2 linked regions of the Tamandua tetradactyla genome follow. The protein of the gene in region 1 purifies or fractionates together with the protein of each later gene. This does not show direct contact. Links are inferred from orthologs where the notes say so. Each region holds a gene or a part of one and is shown on either strand. Other genes may lie near its edges.

What was found. The genes of interacting proteins can lie anywhere in the genome.
Region 2: the proteins of HECTD1 (region 1) and URGCP purify together in Homo sapiens (affinity purification with mass spectrometry; 4 studies listed by BioGRID and IntAct, with this or other methods). This does not show direct contact. The link is inferred for Tamandua tetradactyla from reciprocal best matches to the Homo sapiens genes HECTD1 and URGCP.

The regions. Positions count from the first base shown.
Region 1 is NC_135340.1:23,139,825-23,147,579, forward strand, and holds the start of HECTD1 (E3 ubiquitin-protein ligase HECTD1), read left to right. Parts: upstream 1-4,745; 5' UTR 4,746-5,074; intron 5,075-6,427; exon of another isoform or gene 6,428-6,547; 5' UTR 6,548-6,568; coding exon 6,569-6,708; intron 6,709-7,755. UniProt on the Homo sapiens protein: E3 ubiquitin-protein ligase which accepts ubiquitin from an E2 ubiquitin-conjugating enzyme in the form of a thioester and then directly transfers the ubiquitin to targeted substrates.
Region 2 is NC_135327.1:64,852,937-64,860,917, reverse strand, and holds the start of URGCP (up-regulator of cell proliferation), read left to right. Parts: upstream 1-4,968; 5' UTR 4,969-5,025; coding exon 5,026-5,039; intron 5,040-7,981. UniProt on the Homo sapiens protein: May be involved in cell cycle progression through the regulation of cyclin D1 expression. May participate in the development of hepatocellular carcinoma (HCC) by promoting hepatocellular growth and survival.

The DNA of each region.
Region 1 (7,755 bases):
AGGAGGCATTTTCCTTCTTCATCTCCAAGGGTCACTGGCTGGTAGACTCTGCCTCTCCTGGCTATGTCATTCTGCTCTCTCTGAATCTCCTTCATTCTCCAAAATGTGTCCTCTTTTATAGGACTCCAGAAACTTATCAAGACCCATCCAAATGCGTGGAGACCCGTCTCCCCTAACCCAGTTTAACAATCACCCTTGATTAAATCACATCTCCAGGGAGATGATCTAATTACAACTTCAAACCTACAATACTGAATAGAGATTAGAAGAAATGGCTGCCTTTACAAAATGGGATTAGGATTAAAACATAGCTTTTCTAGGGTACACATATCCTTTCAAACCAGCACACATCCTTGAGGTTCTCAGAGTGTACCTGATGACATTATGTGCTAAGTACTACAACAGAGGTGAATACAAGACTTTTGTAGTTTATTCAGGATAAGGTTTGTGACTTACTCACTGGGCCTTATACTGTGCTGGCATATAGCAATTCTCAGTGGTTCATGATTCTTAAGAGTTGGGCATCATGGTGAAATGTCGGGATTTAAGCACTTTCTAGTTTCTTGGGATAAATATTTGAGTTTGGTCTCTTGCCTTCATCTGGATCTTCTGTTTGCTTCAGAGCTTCACTAACTTCTTTTAGTTATGCTTCCATTTTGTGATCGCATTTCCAATTTTTTTTCATATTTGAATTTAAAATAATAACAAAACTTTTAAAAAGCACGATAGAGAGAGAGCAGAATGATGTAGCCACGAGATGCAGAGAGTCCACGAGCCAGCAACCTTTGGAGATGAAGAAGGAAAATGCCTCCCAGGGAGCTTCATGAAACAGGAAGCCAGGAGAGTAAGCTAGCAGATGATGCCGTTTTCGCCATGTGCTCTTCCAGCCGAGAGAGAAACTGTGACTGTGTTTGCCATGTGCCTTCTCACTTGACAGAGAAAGCCAAGATTGGACATTGAGTTAACCAGGAAAGATTTTTGGAAACTTCTTATGTCTGATGGGCATGATCCAACACTACTGCATAGAAAGCAGACGAGAGTGCTCTGGGACCTGTAAAAACAAAGCCACTGCCAGTCTGGACTGAGGGGCTCAGAGAAAGGACACATTGGAGGAAAAGTACCTTCAGAGGCAAAACCATGGAGGCTGAGATCTGAAGTCAAGAAGCCTCAGGCAAGGAGAGCAGATGTACCCAAGCACATGGAGAGGGTGAGTTTGCCCCAAAGGCAGAGAATGGGCCTTCCACCTCATTGCAGTGGAAGTCATGCCGCCTGAGGCCTTGGAGAAGGTGAAGCACATTCCTTGGGGTTTGGGGAGAGCCTGGCTGCCACCATATGGAGGGGCTGAGCGTGTGCCCCGGAGATGGCAGAGAGCCCGGGTGCAGCCCCAATGCTTGGAGAGGGTGGAGCCTAGAGAAGGGTGGTCTCCCCAATATCCCCCAAGGTTGCATTCAGAGAGAGGCAGGCGTAAGCATTTGGAAAGGATGGGACTGCCACTTTCTAAAGCCCTGAGGATAAATGACTCTCAGACTTTGAAATCTAATGGACTTTGCCCTGCTGGTTTTCGAAACTATATGGGTCCTTTGACCCCTGTGTTCCTTCCTCCCTATGGAAATGTGTATATGTATCCTATGAATGTTCCCCCTTTGTATGTTGGCAGCAAATAATTTATGAGTTTTCAATGGTCTAGAGCAAATGGAGAGAATTTTGCCTTAGGACAGACCATGCCTGTAACTGACTTGATGAGATTTTATACTGTCTCTAATTTTGTACTTCATTGTATTGCTACTGAAAGGTTTAAGGTTTCTGATATTGTTATGAAATTAATGTATTTTGCATATAGAAAAAACATGTCTTTTTTAGGGGCCAGAGGGTGGAATGTGCTGGTTTGAAAGGAAGTATGCCCCCTAAGAAAAGCCATGTTTTAATATAAATCCCACTTCATAAAGGTAGACTAATCCCTATTCAATACTGTATATTTGAAACTGTAATGAGATCATCTCCCTGGTTGATGTGATTTAGTCAAGAATGGTTGTTAAACTGGATTAGGGGATGACATGTCTCCACCCATTTGAGTGGGTCTTGATTGGTTTACCGGTGTCCTATAAAAGAGGAAACATTTTGGAGAGGACGATTCAGAGAGAGCAGAATGATGTAGGCATGAGATGCAGAGAGTCCACGAGCCAGCAACCTTTGGAGATGAAGAAGGAAAATGCCTCCCAGGGAGCTTCATGAAACAGGAAGCCAGGAGAGTAAGCTAGCAGATGATGCCGTGTTTGCCATGTACCCTTCCAGCCGAGAGAGAAACTGTGACTGTGTTCGCCATGTGCCTTCTCACTTGAGAGAGAAACCCTGAACTTCATCAGCCTTCTTGAACTAAGGTATCTTTCCCTAGATGCCTTTGATTGGACATTTCTTTAGACTTGTTTTAATTGGGATATTTTCTCAGCCTTAGAACTGTAAACCAGCAACTCATTAAATTCCCCTTGTTAAAAGCCAAAAAAAAAAAAAAAAAGCATGATAGAAAAAGCAAAATAAAAGTCATACAATTTTTTTTTTCTGATGAGATTTCTTTAAAGCATAGTACAGTCATTAATTTGGAGGATAGGAAGTGAGGTCTGTGGGTAGAGATGGTGAGGGAATAAAGCAAAATACATCTTAAAAATTTAGTAAAAGTGTAGTTCTTTTACTAACTTTTTCATTTCCTGTTAATAGTATCATCATTCTCCTGGCCTCCAAATCTCAGGTGAGGGATCAAAAAAATTGAAGTTAATCATCTAAATTCTTATATATCCTTTGAAATATTTTTTCCATTTACTTCTCCATTCTTATTGCCAATAACTAGCCTCCACTCACCTACGCCCACCAACTAATCTTCCAGCTAATCTACTTCTCTACAAAGCTCTTTCCAACCATTCTGAATACTCTTGCCATATAAATCTTACCTAAAACTCTAATTTTTCAAATCAGCATCCTACCCCAGAACTAGTTAGTTAGTTACCTTATGCCAAATTTCTGCATCTCACTTTCGAGGTCCTCCCTTCTTTGTTCCCAATCTTCCTCCCCCCATCCCGCGCCCACTACCCCAACTCCATGGCTTAATGGTGGTTCTTTGCTGGGGACTCAGGTGGTCTTTCCTCTCCTTGGAACCTATCAGGTTTTGCTGGTATCCTTCTCCCTCTCTTTCAGTGTCCACATTGTACCCTTCAGAAGTCTTCTTGAATATTTTCCTGGCAGCTCCATGTCACAAATAAGTATTATTGTGTGTCATATTTGCGAAAAGAGAGTGGAATCCTCTACTCTTTTCTCTCGATTGGATTTGTTAATAAGAAACCTACCATTACTTTCCACAGTGGGACACGGGCCTACAGCTATCTGAAACGCAAATCTGTAATTTCCAAAGTACCAGTTCTACAAGCATCTGTAGAGGCTCCTGGGATTGCCAAAAGGAACAGGTATCAAATACTATTATGAAATATCCTTTTTTTGTTGTTGTTAAAAGATGATAAAGTATTTGCTTTTTTTTCTTTTTCCTTTTTTATATATTTTTTCATTTTTCATTTTTATTATTTTTATTTTTTTCTCTATATTATCATTCTATATCTTTTTCTGTTGTTTTGCTAGTTCTTTTCCTAAATCAATGCAAATGTAGTAAGAAATGATGATCATACATCTATGTGATATTAAGAATTACTGACTGCATATGTAGAATGGAATGATTTCTAAATGTTGTGTTAGTTAATTTTTTTAATTAATTAAAAAAAAACTGATAAGTCAAATTTTCCTGGTAAAATTTTTGTAACCAAAAACTGATTCTAATGAAAATAATTTCATTAAAATCAAAAAATGGAAAAAAAAAAGATGATAAAGTATGGTAGGACTCTGTGGCATGGGGTTTATTGTCTCACGAACCAAATATGTTCAAATACGTTCTATAATCAGGACTATGAAATGAGAAGTTTGAAGAGAAATAACGCCGGACATACTCGAGTGACCACATGCCACAGGAGAAGTAAAAAGACCACTCTCAGTGCTGCTGCTTAATAGGGACGCTGGATGTGAATTCACGCTTTCCTGAAGTCTCAGTTCGCTCATCCCTACAATGGAGAGAATACTTGATAACAGATCCTTCTCGGGCTAGTGAAAGGTTTCATTTTTGGCGAACAGCGCTCGGTTTGCCCCCTAAAGCCTAACCTTTTCCTCCCACTAGGGCCGGAGAGCTGAGCTCTATCTTTTAGCCCAGAATGAGCATTTCCGTGCGAAAGGCGGGGTGGCTGGAGGGGACGGGGAAGCTCAGGGTTGCCGGGGCGGAAGACTCCATGGGCACAGGTTGGGTTGCAGCTTTGACGCGCAGCGCGGGGGGCCTTGGGCAGGAGGGCGCCGAGTATGCAGACGCGGCGCAAAGCCAGCTGAGCGCGCGGGCACGAGGGTGCGCTCGGTGCCGGGAGAGGGCTCGGCTTGACAACGTAGTGAAAAGGGCACCAGGGCGAAGATAGAAAAGCGGTAACAGGCACCTCGAGGGAGGCCGAGGCCCCGTGGGCGACAGCGCCGAGACAGGGGCAGCGACGCGCTGGGCTGCCCGGGGCCCCTGATTAGCTCCCCCGCGCCGCCGCGGGCCGCCCTAAGTCCCCGCAGCGCCCCAGCTGGCCGCTCGCGGGGTCGGCGCCGCGAGAGCCCAGTCGCTCCGCCCCCGCGCGGCTCGGCGGCCCGCCGCAGCTTCCCCGCCCGGCTCTCGCTCGACCCTCCTCCCTTCCCCCTCCCGTATCACGATGGACGCGGCCTCTCCGCGCCGCCGCCGGCAGCGTCGCGCGGGCCTCTGAGCTGTAGGGCCTGAGGAGCCGCGTGTCCGGGAAGGTGCCTGCGCTGGCTGCCGCCGCTCGGAGGGACCTCTCGCTTCCCTGTCACCAGGTCCCCGCGGAGGAAGGGGAGGGACGAGGCGCGGCTTTTCCTGTGCCGCCTGTCTGGGTCGACCTGCGCGGCCTGCGGCTTCCTGGGAACTCGAGGGCCGCGGCCGGGCCTGGCTCTGCCCGCGGCCTGCTTGGAGCCGGACCGGAACGGTCTGGGACGAGAAGTCTGGGTAAGAGCCCACGGAAAAGGGAGGCGGGAGCTCCTCCGGCCGTCCGAATGGCCGGGACGGGGGTCGAGATCCGGGGCGCTGGCCATAGATTGGGAGCGACCCCAGGGTTGGGTGAGGCCGGCGGGTCTGCTGCCGACTCCCCTGCTTGGCCTCTTTGTTCCCCTCCCCCCACCCTGTCCGCGGTGGGGCCCGGCTTACCCGGTCCGAGCTGGAGCCCAAGGAGGTCCCCCCCTTGCCCTTGAGAAGCTTTCGCCTCCCGGCCGCGGCGAGGAACGTCCCGCCGGGCCTCGGAGTTCCGGACGCCGCTCCAGGCAGGCCCGCCGCCCAGCCCGGCACGGCGGCCTCCTCTCAAGACCGAGGCTTGCGCCTTCTCCTCCAGAACTATCCAACCCCCACCCTCACCCCGACGGGTGGCTAACTTGCAAGGGTCTAGTCCGGGAAAGCTGAGCACGTACGGTAGCAGTGCCCCTCGGTGCAGAGCTCGGCCTGGCCCGGCGTGTGGGGTTGGCCCGCTGGTCGCCGCCGTTGGGTGCCCATCGGGACCTGCCGGTGGATTCACACACCTGCAGCTGGGGCTACGTGGGACCTAAGGCTGTTCTCCGGTCAGGGCGCTTACGAAGAGCTTCTCTAATGACTTGCTTGTTTGAGCTGTTTCTGTTTTCGTTGTTGTTGTTTTGTTTTGTTTTTACCAACTGTCCCATCCTGTGGGAATAGGAAAAAGAGAGCCCTGGGTTGGCCTGTATTCTGATCCCTAATGTGTAAACCCATTGCGTTTACTTTTAGCATTTCTTTTTAAAGTTTTAAGAACAGTTGTCAAGACTGCCAAAATTCCTAACCAAGTCTTTATTCATAGATAGATCTTGTATCTAATTATAGTTTCTATTTGGACATCTTTAGAATAGGGGCGAGTAAATTAAGAAGTCAGCTGATTTTGTAAAATTGGAGTTAATTTTCAAGGAGAAACTCACCTTGAAGAGGAGAATTGGGTCAAAGTGTTCAGAATCTCCTCAAAGTACTGTATCTAACCTTTATGTAAAGATCCGTTTTGGAAGGCGGAGGGGGAAGAAGTTTTCTGGAAAAGGAAAGAACCTTTAGTAGGTGTTCTTTGCCTTTTTGGCATAGACGCCAGCGATAACACTAGTGGGATCCGAAGCCTGTTTGACTGTCTTTGACCAAGGCAGCTCTGGTTTCTAGTTAAGCAGCAACCTAATCAGCTTATAACCTTTTGCAAAACTGGTTTTTATTTAGTATAGTGTGCTATCTGAACTTGAAACCTGAAGAATAAGGAAAGTTGAAACACTGCATAGCATTCTATCCAAACATAAATACTTACTAGTCTTTTCTAATTCCTAGGAGGACCCCACGAAAATTTGGTTCTAGCCGATGTAAAAGAGAATTTTTAAACCTGAGCAGATCAGTCCTGGACATTTAAAGGACTTTGCCTCTTTACTTTTTTTTTTTTTTTGATTTAAGCAAAGAGGCTTTTAAAAAACCATGGCAGATGTGGATCCGGATACATTGCTGGAATGGCTACAGATGGGACAGGGAGATGAAAGGGACATGCAACTAATAGCCCTTGAACAGCTATGCATGCTGCTTTTGATGTCTGACAACGTGGATCGTTGTTTTGAAACGTAAGTACATCCCTTCATCATCTTCCTTTGGGGTTATTGTATTGATGTGTTTTCAACCATTTGCTGACTTAAGTTTGTGTAGAAATTTCTCTAGTGAATTTTAAAAATGTTTTTTTAAAAGTTCCTGCAGGATTTTGCATTTACACTTTTCAGAGAAATAGAATTGGTAGGTGAAGTAACTCTAGTGAAGATAATTATGATGACACATGTCCATGTTTACTTGCTGAATGAATGGGAATTAGTAGAGGAACCTAATTTTAACCCATAGCTTGGTTGATTCATTTTCAAAATATGTTGTTAACTGGGGAAAATACAGATACTTTTGTTAAGAAAGCTATTTCTGCACCATGAAATTGACTTATAGAATAACATAGATAATAACCAACATATATTTAGAACTGCCCATTCCTTCTTAGTATTGAGGCATTTGACGTTTTACTTTTGTTAAGCAAACCATTGGTTTGTAGTTTTCACTTTAGAAGAAATAAACTGAATGTTTCCCATATAGCATACCTTTTGAAATAGCACAGACAGATTTTGGAGTTTGGAGAATCTAAATTTTATCCAGAGGTCATAATGTAAAATTTGTGCAAAAATGTAAGAGAATTCATTACTAGATAGGTTCTTTTTTTTTATTAGTAATTTAAAAAAAAATTGACAACAAACCAACAAAAGTATTCTTAATGTATGATCATTCCATTCTACATATATAATCAGTAATTCACAATATCATCACATGGTTATATTCATCATGATGATCATTTCTTAGAACATTTGCATCAATTCAGAAAAAGAAATAAAAAGACAACAGAAAGAGAAATAAAACAAAAACAAACAAAGAAAAGATTATACATACCATACCCCTTACCCCTCCCTTTCATTGATCACTAGCATTTCAAACTAAATTTATTTTAACATTTGTTCCCCCTATTATTTATTTTTATTCCATATGTTCTACTCATCTGTTGACAAGGTAGATAAAAGGAGCATCAGACACAAGGTTTTCACAATCACACAGTCACATTATGAAAGCTATATCATTATACA
Region 2 (7,981 bases), on another chromosome or scaffold:
TGTGTGTGTGTGTATACTGATATGCTCTGGCCCAGAAATTCAACTCCTAGAAATTTAGGTTAAGAATATAATCATAGAAGAGTATGGGAGTTTTGGCTATAGGGATATTTATTGCTCACATTCCCTATAATAACAAATACTGGTAGCAATATTTATATCCAAAATAGTAGGGGCTGGTTTAAACATATTATGTTTCTCTATGCAAGGAATGTTACATAAGCACTAAAACCCATGTGGAGGAAGGAGACAACTTCACTGAACTTGTATGACTTATTATTTTAAAAAACATATTTTAAAAACCAACAAGCTGGGCGGGCCATGGTGGCTCAGCATGCAGAGTTCTCACCTGCCATGCCAGAGACCCGGGTTTGATTCCTGGTGCATGCCCAGGCAAAACAAAAACAAAACAGAACAAAAAAACCAAGCTTATGTGGAGGTTTGGAGCTGTATGTTCCTCAGAAACACATGTTCCTAAATTTCATCCCTTTCTTTGGTTGTGAAACCATTTTAAGTAGGACCTTTTTTGAGATTACTTCAGTTAAGATGAGACCCACCTCATTGAGGATGGGTCTTTATCCTATTACTGAAGTCCTTTTAAAATAACGAAATTCAAAGAAAGAGCCACAGGAACAAGAGGCTGGACATTGATGGAAACTGGAAGAGAAGGGAGAGATGAGGCGATCCTGCTATGTGCATTGCCATGTGACAGGGAAGCCAAGGACCACTGGTGAATGCCTCTCTGAAGGCAGAAAGCATTGCTTTGATGACACCCTGATTTGGACTTTATTTTAGCTTCAAAACCATGAGCAGATTAAGTCTTACTGTGTAACTCAACGCATTTCACAGTATTTGTTGAGCAGCTAAGGAAAATAAAACAGATTTTGGCAACAGGAGAGTGGGATGCTGCTGTTGCAAATACCAAAAATGGGAGAATGGCTTTTGAATTGGGTAAAGGGTAAAGGCAAGAAGAATTGTGAGGGCTTGATAGAAAAGTCTGGATTGCTTTGAAGACAGACTGCTCATAGATAAATGGATGCTAAAGGTCCTTCCAAAGAGGCCTTAGAAGGAAATGATGATTGTGTTACTGAAAACAGAAGGAAAGGGGATTCTTGTTTTAAGTGGCTGAGAACTTGGCAAAATCGAGTTCTGATCTCAGAATTTGAGAGTGAAGAATTTAGGTAGTTAGCTGAGGAGATTTACAAGCTAATTGTGGAGAGAGCAGTCTGCTTTCTCCTTGCAGCTTATAGTAAAATGTGAAAGGAAAAGGATAAGCTAAGAACTGAACTCCTGGGCACAAAGTAACAAGAAATGGATGGTTTGGAAAATTCTGAGCTTCTGGAAAGCAAGTTCTAGAGAATAGTGCTCCATGTATAGGTTTAACTGAACATGAAACCAATAAATTTCCCTGCAATTTAGGATTGGAGGTGAAATTATCCATGAAGGATCTGTGGAAAGTCCTATTGTCTGATGATTTGGACCCCTGTGAACTACATACAAAACTGACAGATTTTTGCATAATTTGTATGGATGAAACCACTGCCAGCCTGGACTAAAAGGGACAAAGTATGGACAGATTGAAGGAAACATCACTTTAAGGACAGACCACAGAAGCTGAGGTCTGGGTCAAAGACATCTTTTCAGGCCAAGAGAGTAGGCCCACTCATGTATGTGGAGAGGGTGAATTTGTCCCAGCACATGGAGAGGAGGGGCCTTCCACTCTGTTGTTCAAGAAGAGTGCTGCCACCCCAGTGTTTTGAGAGATTTGGTCCTGTGCCCTGGAGTTAGTGGAGAGCCTGGTTTCCATCCTGATGCTGGGAAAGGGTAGAATCTTTACGCTTGTGTTTGGGGAAAGCATGGCTGCTGGGTAAGCATTTGGAAGGGGTGAGGCTGCTGCTACACCAGTCCCAGAGGACAATCCATCATTCCATAGATGACTCTCAGAACTTGAAATCGAATGGAGTATGCCCTGCTGGGTTTTGCAATTTCTCCCTATGGGAATGGGAATGTTAATCCTATACCTCTCCCTTCTTTGTGTACTGGAAGCAGATATCTTGTTCTATAGGTTTCATAGGTTCACAGATGGAGGAGAATTGTGCCCCAGGACAGAACATACCTATAAGTGATTTTGGTAAGATTTTGCAGTAAGCATTGTTTCTGAAATGACTTAAGGTTTTTGGGATACTGTGAGTGGAATTAATGTGTTTTGCATAAGGGACATGTCTTTTTGGGTCCAGAGGGTGAAGTGTGGTGGTTTGAAGCCATAGGTATCCCAGAAAACTTTTTCTTAAATTTAATCCATTCTTATGGGTATGAACCCATTGTAAGTAGGACCTTTTGATGAAGCTACTTCAGTTAAGGTGTATCCTGGTTTGACTCTGTTACATACCCCAGGGAAGCCTATGTTCTTTTAATTCATCCCTTTGGGTACAGAGCTATTGTAGGTAGGAATTTTAGCTTAGGTTGTTCCCATGGAGATGTGATCCAGCCCATTCAAGGTGGGTCTTAATTCCCTTTCTGGAGTGCTTTATGAGAGGTAAAAAGAGACATTTTGGAGACGGCTCAGAGAAACAAATGCCCTGTGAGAAACAAGCAAGGACCTACAGGAGCTGAGAGACCCATTTGGAAACTAGAACAGGAGAGAAGGACCAGGAAACATTGCCATGTGCCTTCCTGTGTGACAGAGGAACCCTGGATGCCAGCAGCCTTTCCTCAGAGAAGGTATTGTCATGCTGATGACTTGATTTGAACATTTAACAGCCTTAGAACTGTAAACTTGTAACCTAATAAATCCCTATCTGAAAAAGCCAACCCATTTCTGGTATACTGCATTCTGGCAGATTTAGCAAACCGAAACCAGGTGTGACCCACCTCATTCAGGATGGGTCTTGATCTTATTACTGGAGTCCTTTACAACAGATTGAAAATTAGACACAGAGAGAGAAAGCCACAGAGGCAAGAAGTTGAAATCAGTGAAACCTGGAAGAGAAGGAAGAGACCAGCAGACACCGCCATGTGCCTTTCCATGTGGCAGAGGAGCCAAGGATTGCTAGTAGCCAGCTGCAGAATGCGGGTCTCTGGGAAAGAAAGCATTGCCTTGATAATGCCTTGATTGGACTTTCTTTTAGCTTCAAAACCATAAGCTAATAAATTCCCATGGTTTAAGTCAACATATTGCATGGTATTTGCTTGAGCAGCCTAGGAAGCTAGAAAAGCTTAATAAAAAAGGAAATTACCTGAACTCCCTAATTCCAGTGGCACAATGCATCCTTCCACCAGGCCATTTAGATGTTGCCTTTTCCTGAAAACCCTTCCTAATCCTGTTTTTTCTGGGATTTCGGTCTTTGGCTGTACATATCATCTCGAAACTACTGACCATTAATTATTTTCTGAATTCAAGGCAACAGTCAGTAGTGAGCTTCCATTATACCAAAGAAGACCAGGATGCTCAGAAAAGTAGAATGGCTTCTCTGAAAGGGAAAGTCTGGCAGAAAAAATATTAATCACTTTACAAACATAACTCATTTAATCCTCATAGAAAGAAAGGAACTTAAACCCATTTTTCAAGTGAGAAAACTGTGGTTTTGGGCAGGTTCTATCTTGTCTAAGGTCATAGAGCTGTAAGTCATTTTCTGGCTCCAGTGCCAAGGATTTCAGTCACTACTTTGATTTTCCCTATTATTAGGAGTAAAAATAATAACAAAATAATAATTATTAATACTTATTACTTTAAAAATTAAAAATAATTTAATTTAATGGGCCCGGGGAGCACTCAGAGTCAAAACACACACACACACACACACACACACACACACACACACACAGAGAAAACAACAACGAAAAAACCCATGCCCTACTTCTTCTTTGAATTCTCTCTTGAGTTTCCTCTTTCTCTTTTGAAATTTGAAATCCCCACCAAGGCAATTGACCTAGTAACCGATCAAGCTCCTAATTCATTAGGTTTGACCCAATACAAAATAAAGCCCACCTGCCCTAAACCCGCCCCCTATAAGACAGACAAACCCTTGTCCAATCAATAAGAGTCAAACTAACTTCCTTTTTATGTCTAGAAAAATCATTTGCCATCCCTAGAACCCGGAAGCTGCTTCTGGTCTTGCAAGTGATCTGGCTTTCTTTGCTGCAGCAAAACTTTGGTGGCCCGAATAAAATGCTGCAGTCTGCAAACTCGACTCTGATTTGTCGTTCAACAATATAACGCAAAAATGCTATCAACAATAGTTTTTATTTGCCCAGAGATTTTTACTAATGTTTTCACTTAAAAGATCTGTTATCTCATTTTTCAGAGGCTTGAGGCACAAAAATTACATACTGCCTGTGGGTGGTACTATGAAATCCCTCCTCCCCGCACCGCTGGAATTCTAGTCTCATTGTTATATTATGTTATAGTATTATTACTATTGCTAACCGATACAATGTAAAGAAGAATAAAAATGTCTTATATTCCTTAGGGCTTCACAATGCAATTTTACACACATTTTACAAAGGATAACAGAGGCTCAGAGAGGCAACTTATCCAAGACCACACAGAAAGTAACCAGGAAGGATAGGGTTGTTTCATAATAATAACAATGCCTTACATTCCAGGACTCAACAAAAGGCTTTTCTTAAGGAAATTAAACCCTAATCGCAGAGAGACCTGGCATTGGCCCGGGTTTGTAGCTGGTTCGTGGCCCCGAGGCAGTGCGGACTCGGCGTCAGGGCAGGCTGGGGCAGTGGGAAGACCCTGGCCCCGAATTCCCCCAACCCTGCTCTACCCAGGGACCCCCGACCCTTCCCGGCCCCCGGAACCTCCCGGTTGGTCCCACCTCCACTCTAGGCCCTGACCCGCCCCGGGCCTTGCCCGCCTGGGCCCGACCCTCGCTTGGCTCCCGAACCCCTATCCCCACCCCCGCCTGGAGCGCGGCCGGCCGCCCGGCGGACGGGCTGGCGGACTGAGGCCCCTCCCCGGCGCGGAGTCGCCGCGCGGAGGAAGCGGAGGAGGTGCCGCGCCGAGACCTCGCCGCGCTCATGGCGTCTCCCGGGTGAGTGTGGCGATCCGAGGGTCGGGCCGCGCTGTCCGCTGCGGGAACCCGAGACAGACGGGCCGGGGGACCGCGAGTCTCGGACCCGGCCTCAGACCCCGACCCGAGGGGCGTCCGCGCTGGCCCTACCGCGCCACGGCCCGGCGACCCTTCCGGCCGGGATCCGTCCCCGCCGACCTTGGGCGGGCGCGGCGGGCGCTGCGGAGTGGGAGCCGTCGGGCGGCCCCTGGTGTGGGAGCGGCCCCGGCGCCGCCGCGGGCGGGGAGGGCCGGGGCCGGGGTCCGAACGCAGCCAGCGCGGCAGGGGCGCGAGGGAGACCTGCGCGCCAGGCCGGGGGTGGAGGGCGAGGTGTGGGGCCTGGGCCGCGGGTGGCGGGGTGCGGGGCCCGGTTGGCAGGGTCCCGAGCCTGGGGTGGGGTCCGCGGGGCCTCGGCTGGCGGGGTGCGGGCCTTGGGGCCTGGCGCGGGGCCTTGGGGCGGGCGGGGAGATGTGTCATCGCATCGCCTGGGGAGCTGTGCGGAGGCCTGGAAACGGCTTCACGGCGGGTGCCGAAAACGCAGGGCCCCTAGTTCCTGGCCTCTATCTTAATTTTTCAACTTTACACCCGTTGGGAGTTGGTGTCCGGTTTTCACAGTCGTTAGGACGTATCCTGAATGTCACCGAGTCCGGCAAGAGCCGCTTCCAGGATCTCCTGGGGTCTGCGCTGTTACCCACGGCCCTTCCTCAGGGAGGCTGTGCTTTTCTGACATCGCCTTCATTTTACTTTTTTACTTGATAAAGTGTTCTTTCTTTTACGAAATGATATTGACACACATCATTTGTTATTTAAAGGAAAAAAATCCTCACTTGGCAAAATAAAATTTCTAGCCATCCGTTATCCTTTTTTTTGTTTTGATAATTTAATAGGTCATGAGATCTGTGATTGACAGGTTTTCATCCTACACCATCATTTTAGGAAAGTTAGACCCCAAGGTCATTAGTTTGATTGGTAAAATTCTTCATTTGACTGTTGTTCATCATTCAGAGAGTCTTAGACCTGGTGACTGGGATAGCAATGAAAGTTGTATGTCTTTATAGCCCACAAGGGCTTTTCTGGGTATTACTAGCAGGCTTGTGGATCACTGCAGGATTATGGCTTTTTCCCAGTTAAGAGCAGAGCTGTGGAATGAATTGGCTCCAGGAAATGAGTTTTAAAAAGTATGTGGGGATTTGAACCCGGACCTCCAGGCTCCAGTCATGTCTTGGCATCTCCTTGCTGCGTTTCTGGAATTGGGGAGTGGTCATCACTCCTGGTACTGGGTCTTTTCATTGCCAACTGAGTACCCAGTACTTTGAGCTTATAAACAGAATAAACGACAGCCCATCCCTAGAAAGTCGGCCAGTTCAACAGGGGTTCAAGGTCCCACTGCATTCCTGCCCTACTTGTCAGGGAAGGGTGAGGTAGGGTGGACCTTGGGACAGCAGTGACCATGGCATCTGAGCCTGTGTAGGGCTGACATGATTCTTTCCTTAAAAATTGTGATGCATTTTGGCTGGTGAGGTCAGGAAAGGCAGTTGGCACCCAGTCACACTGCTTGGAGGTGGGTTAGAGGTGAACTTCATGCTAGGTGGTCCCCTTTTGTGAGCCAAATAGGGCCCAAGTTATTCCCTGCAGAAAACAGTGTTCAATTTAATATTTTAGATCTTTGAGCTACCTCATGAGTCCGCATTCTGAGGTAATCTGTTATCTTCTGAGGGGGAATCCATTGTGAAGCTGGGGTCAAAACTTTATTTCATTTTATGGGGAAAAGTATGCATTTATTTGGTATATACACATTTGGGACTCGGGCAGACATAACCACTGGACAGGCTTCCCTGGGAGATCAGAGTCCATCAGGGAGTCAGCATTTCCTGAGGTCCTCTGGCCTGTCTCACTGAGTCAATCAGCAAACATGAAGCCTATTTGACTAAGTGTGATGGGGAACAAGTCAGAGATACAGGGCAGAGGTGGAAGGAAATGATTTCTGACTGGACTGTTCATCAAGAAGGAGTCTCCCAAACCGGTGCTCTTTCCTATATGACCATCTCCATGAGATGGTAGGGAAAGAAAGAAGAAATCCTGACATTTTCTGAGGTCTTAACTAATTTGCTAGGCATTATGCTAAAAGCCATCAAAAGAAAAGACAAGTGTTTGAGAGAGGACCCACAACCATTTGGAGCTAAGTGGAGACAAGGCCAGGGCAGGAGAATGGTGCAGGTCTGTGGGACCTGGCCTTCAGGCTGCATTAGGACCTCTTTTGTGGATAGTGAGGTCTCACTGAGGCTGGTTTTAAGTGGGGAAATGGCATTATCACATAGGAACCTTTAGGAAAATCCACCTGACAGCCGTGTGGAGGAGGCAGTGAAATTAAGAGAGATGGAGGACAAGTGCCATCAGCTCATCAACCTGTTACCATCTGGTTTCTATCCCTGCCCTCTTCTGAAATTGCAGAAAGAGCAATTTCAGAAGAATGTGACAGTTTTTTACCAGCTCCCACTTCTTATAGCTTTCTTTCTTATCTTTAACCCTTGCCTAGTTTTCTTGCAAATGCTCAGTCTGCGACTTAATTGCCTGACCAGCTCCTCTGTGCACTGCTCCAACTTTCCTTGGGCTCTGTGGTCATTGTTTGCTGCATTCTCTCTGCATGACAGCATCCACTCTGTGGCATTAATGTCATTTAAAATATCAGGTGTTCTTATCTTAGGGTCTACAATTTAACGGTTGAGCTTCTGGGGTCCTTCCTTGTGTTTGTGGTTCATATATTTTCTTAGGATGAAAGTCTGTAACCTTCATCAGATTCTTTTTTTTTTTTTTTTAGCACTTTTATTCGTATACCATATAATCCATCCAAGGTATACAATGAGTGGCTCTAAGTATTTTCACAGAGTTGTGCATTCATCACCACAGTACATTGCTCCAAAAAA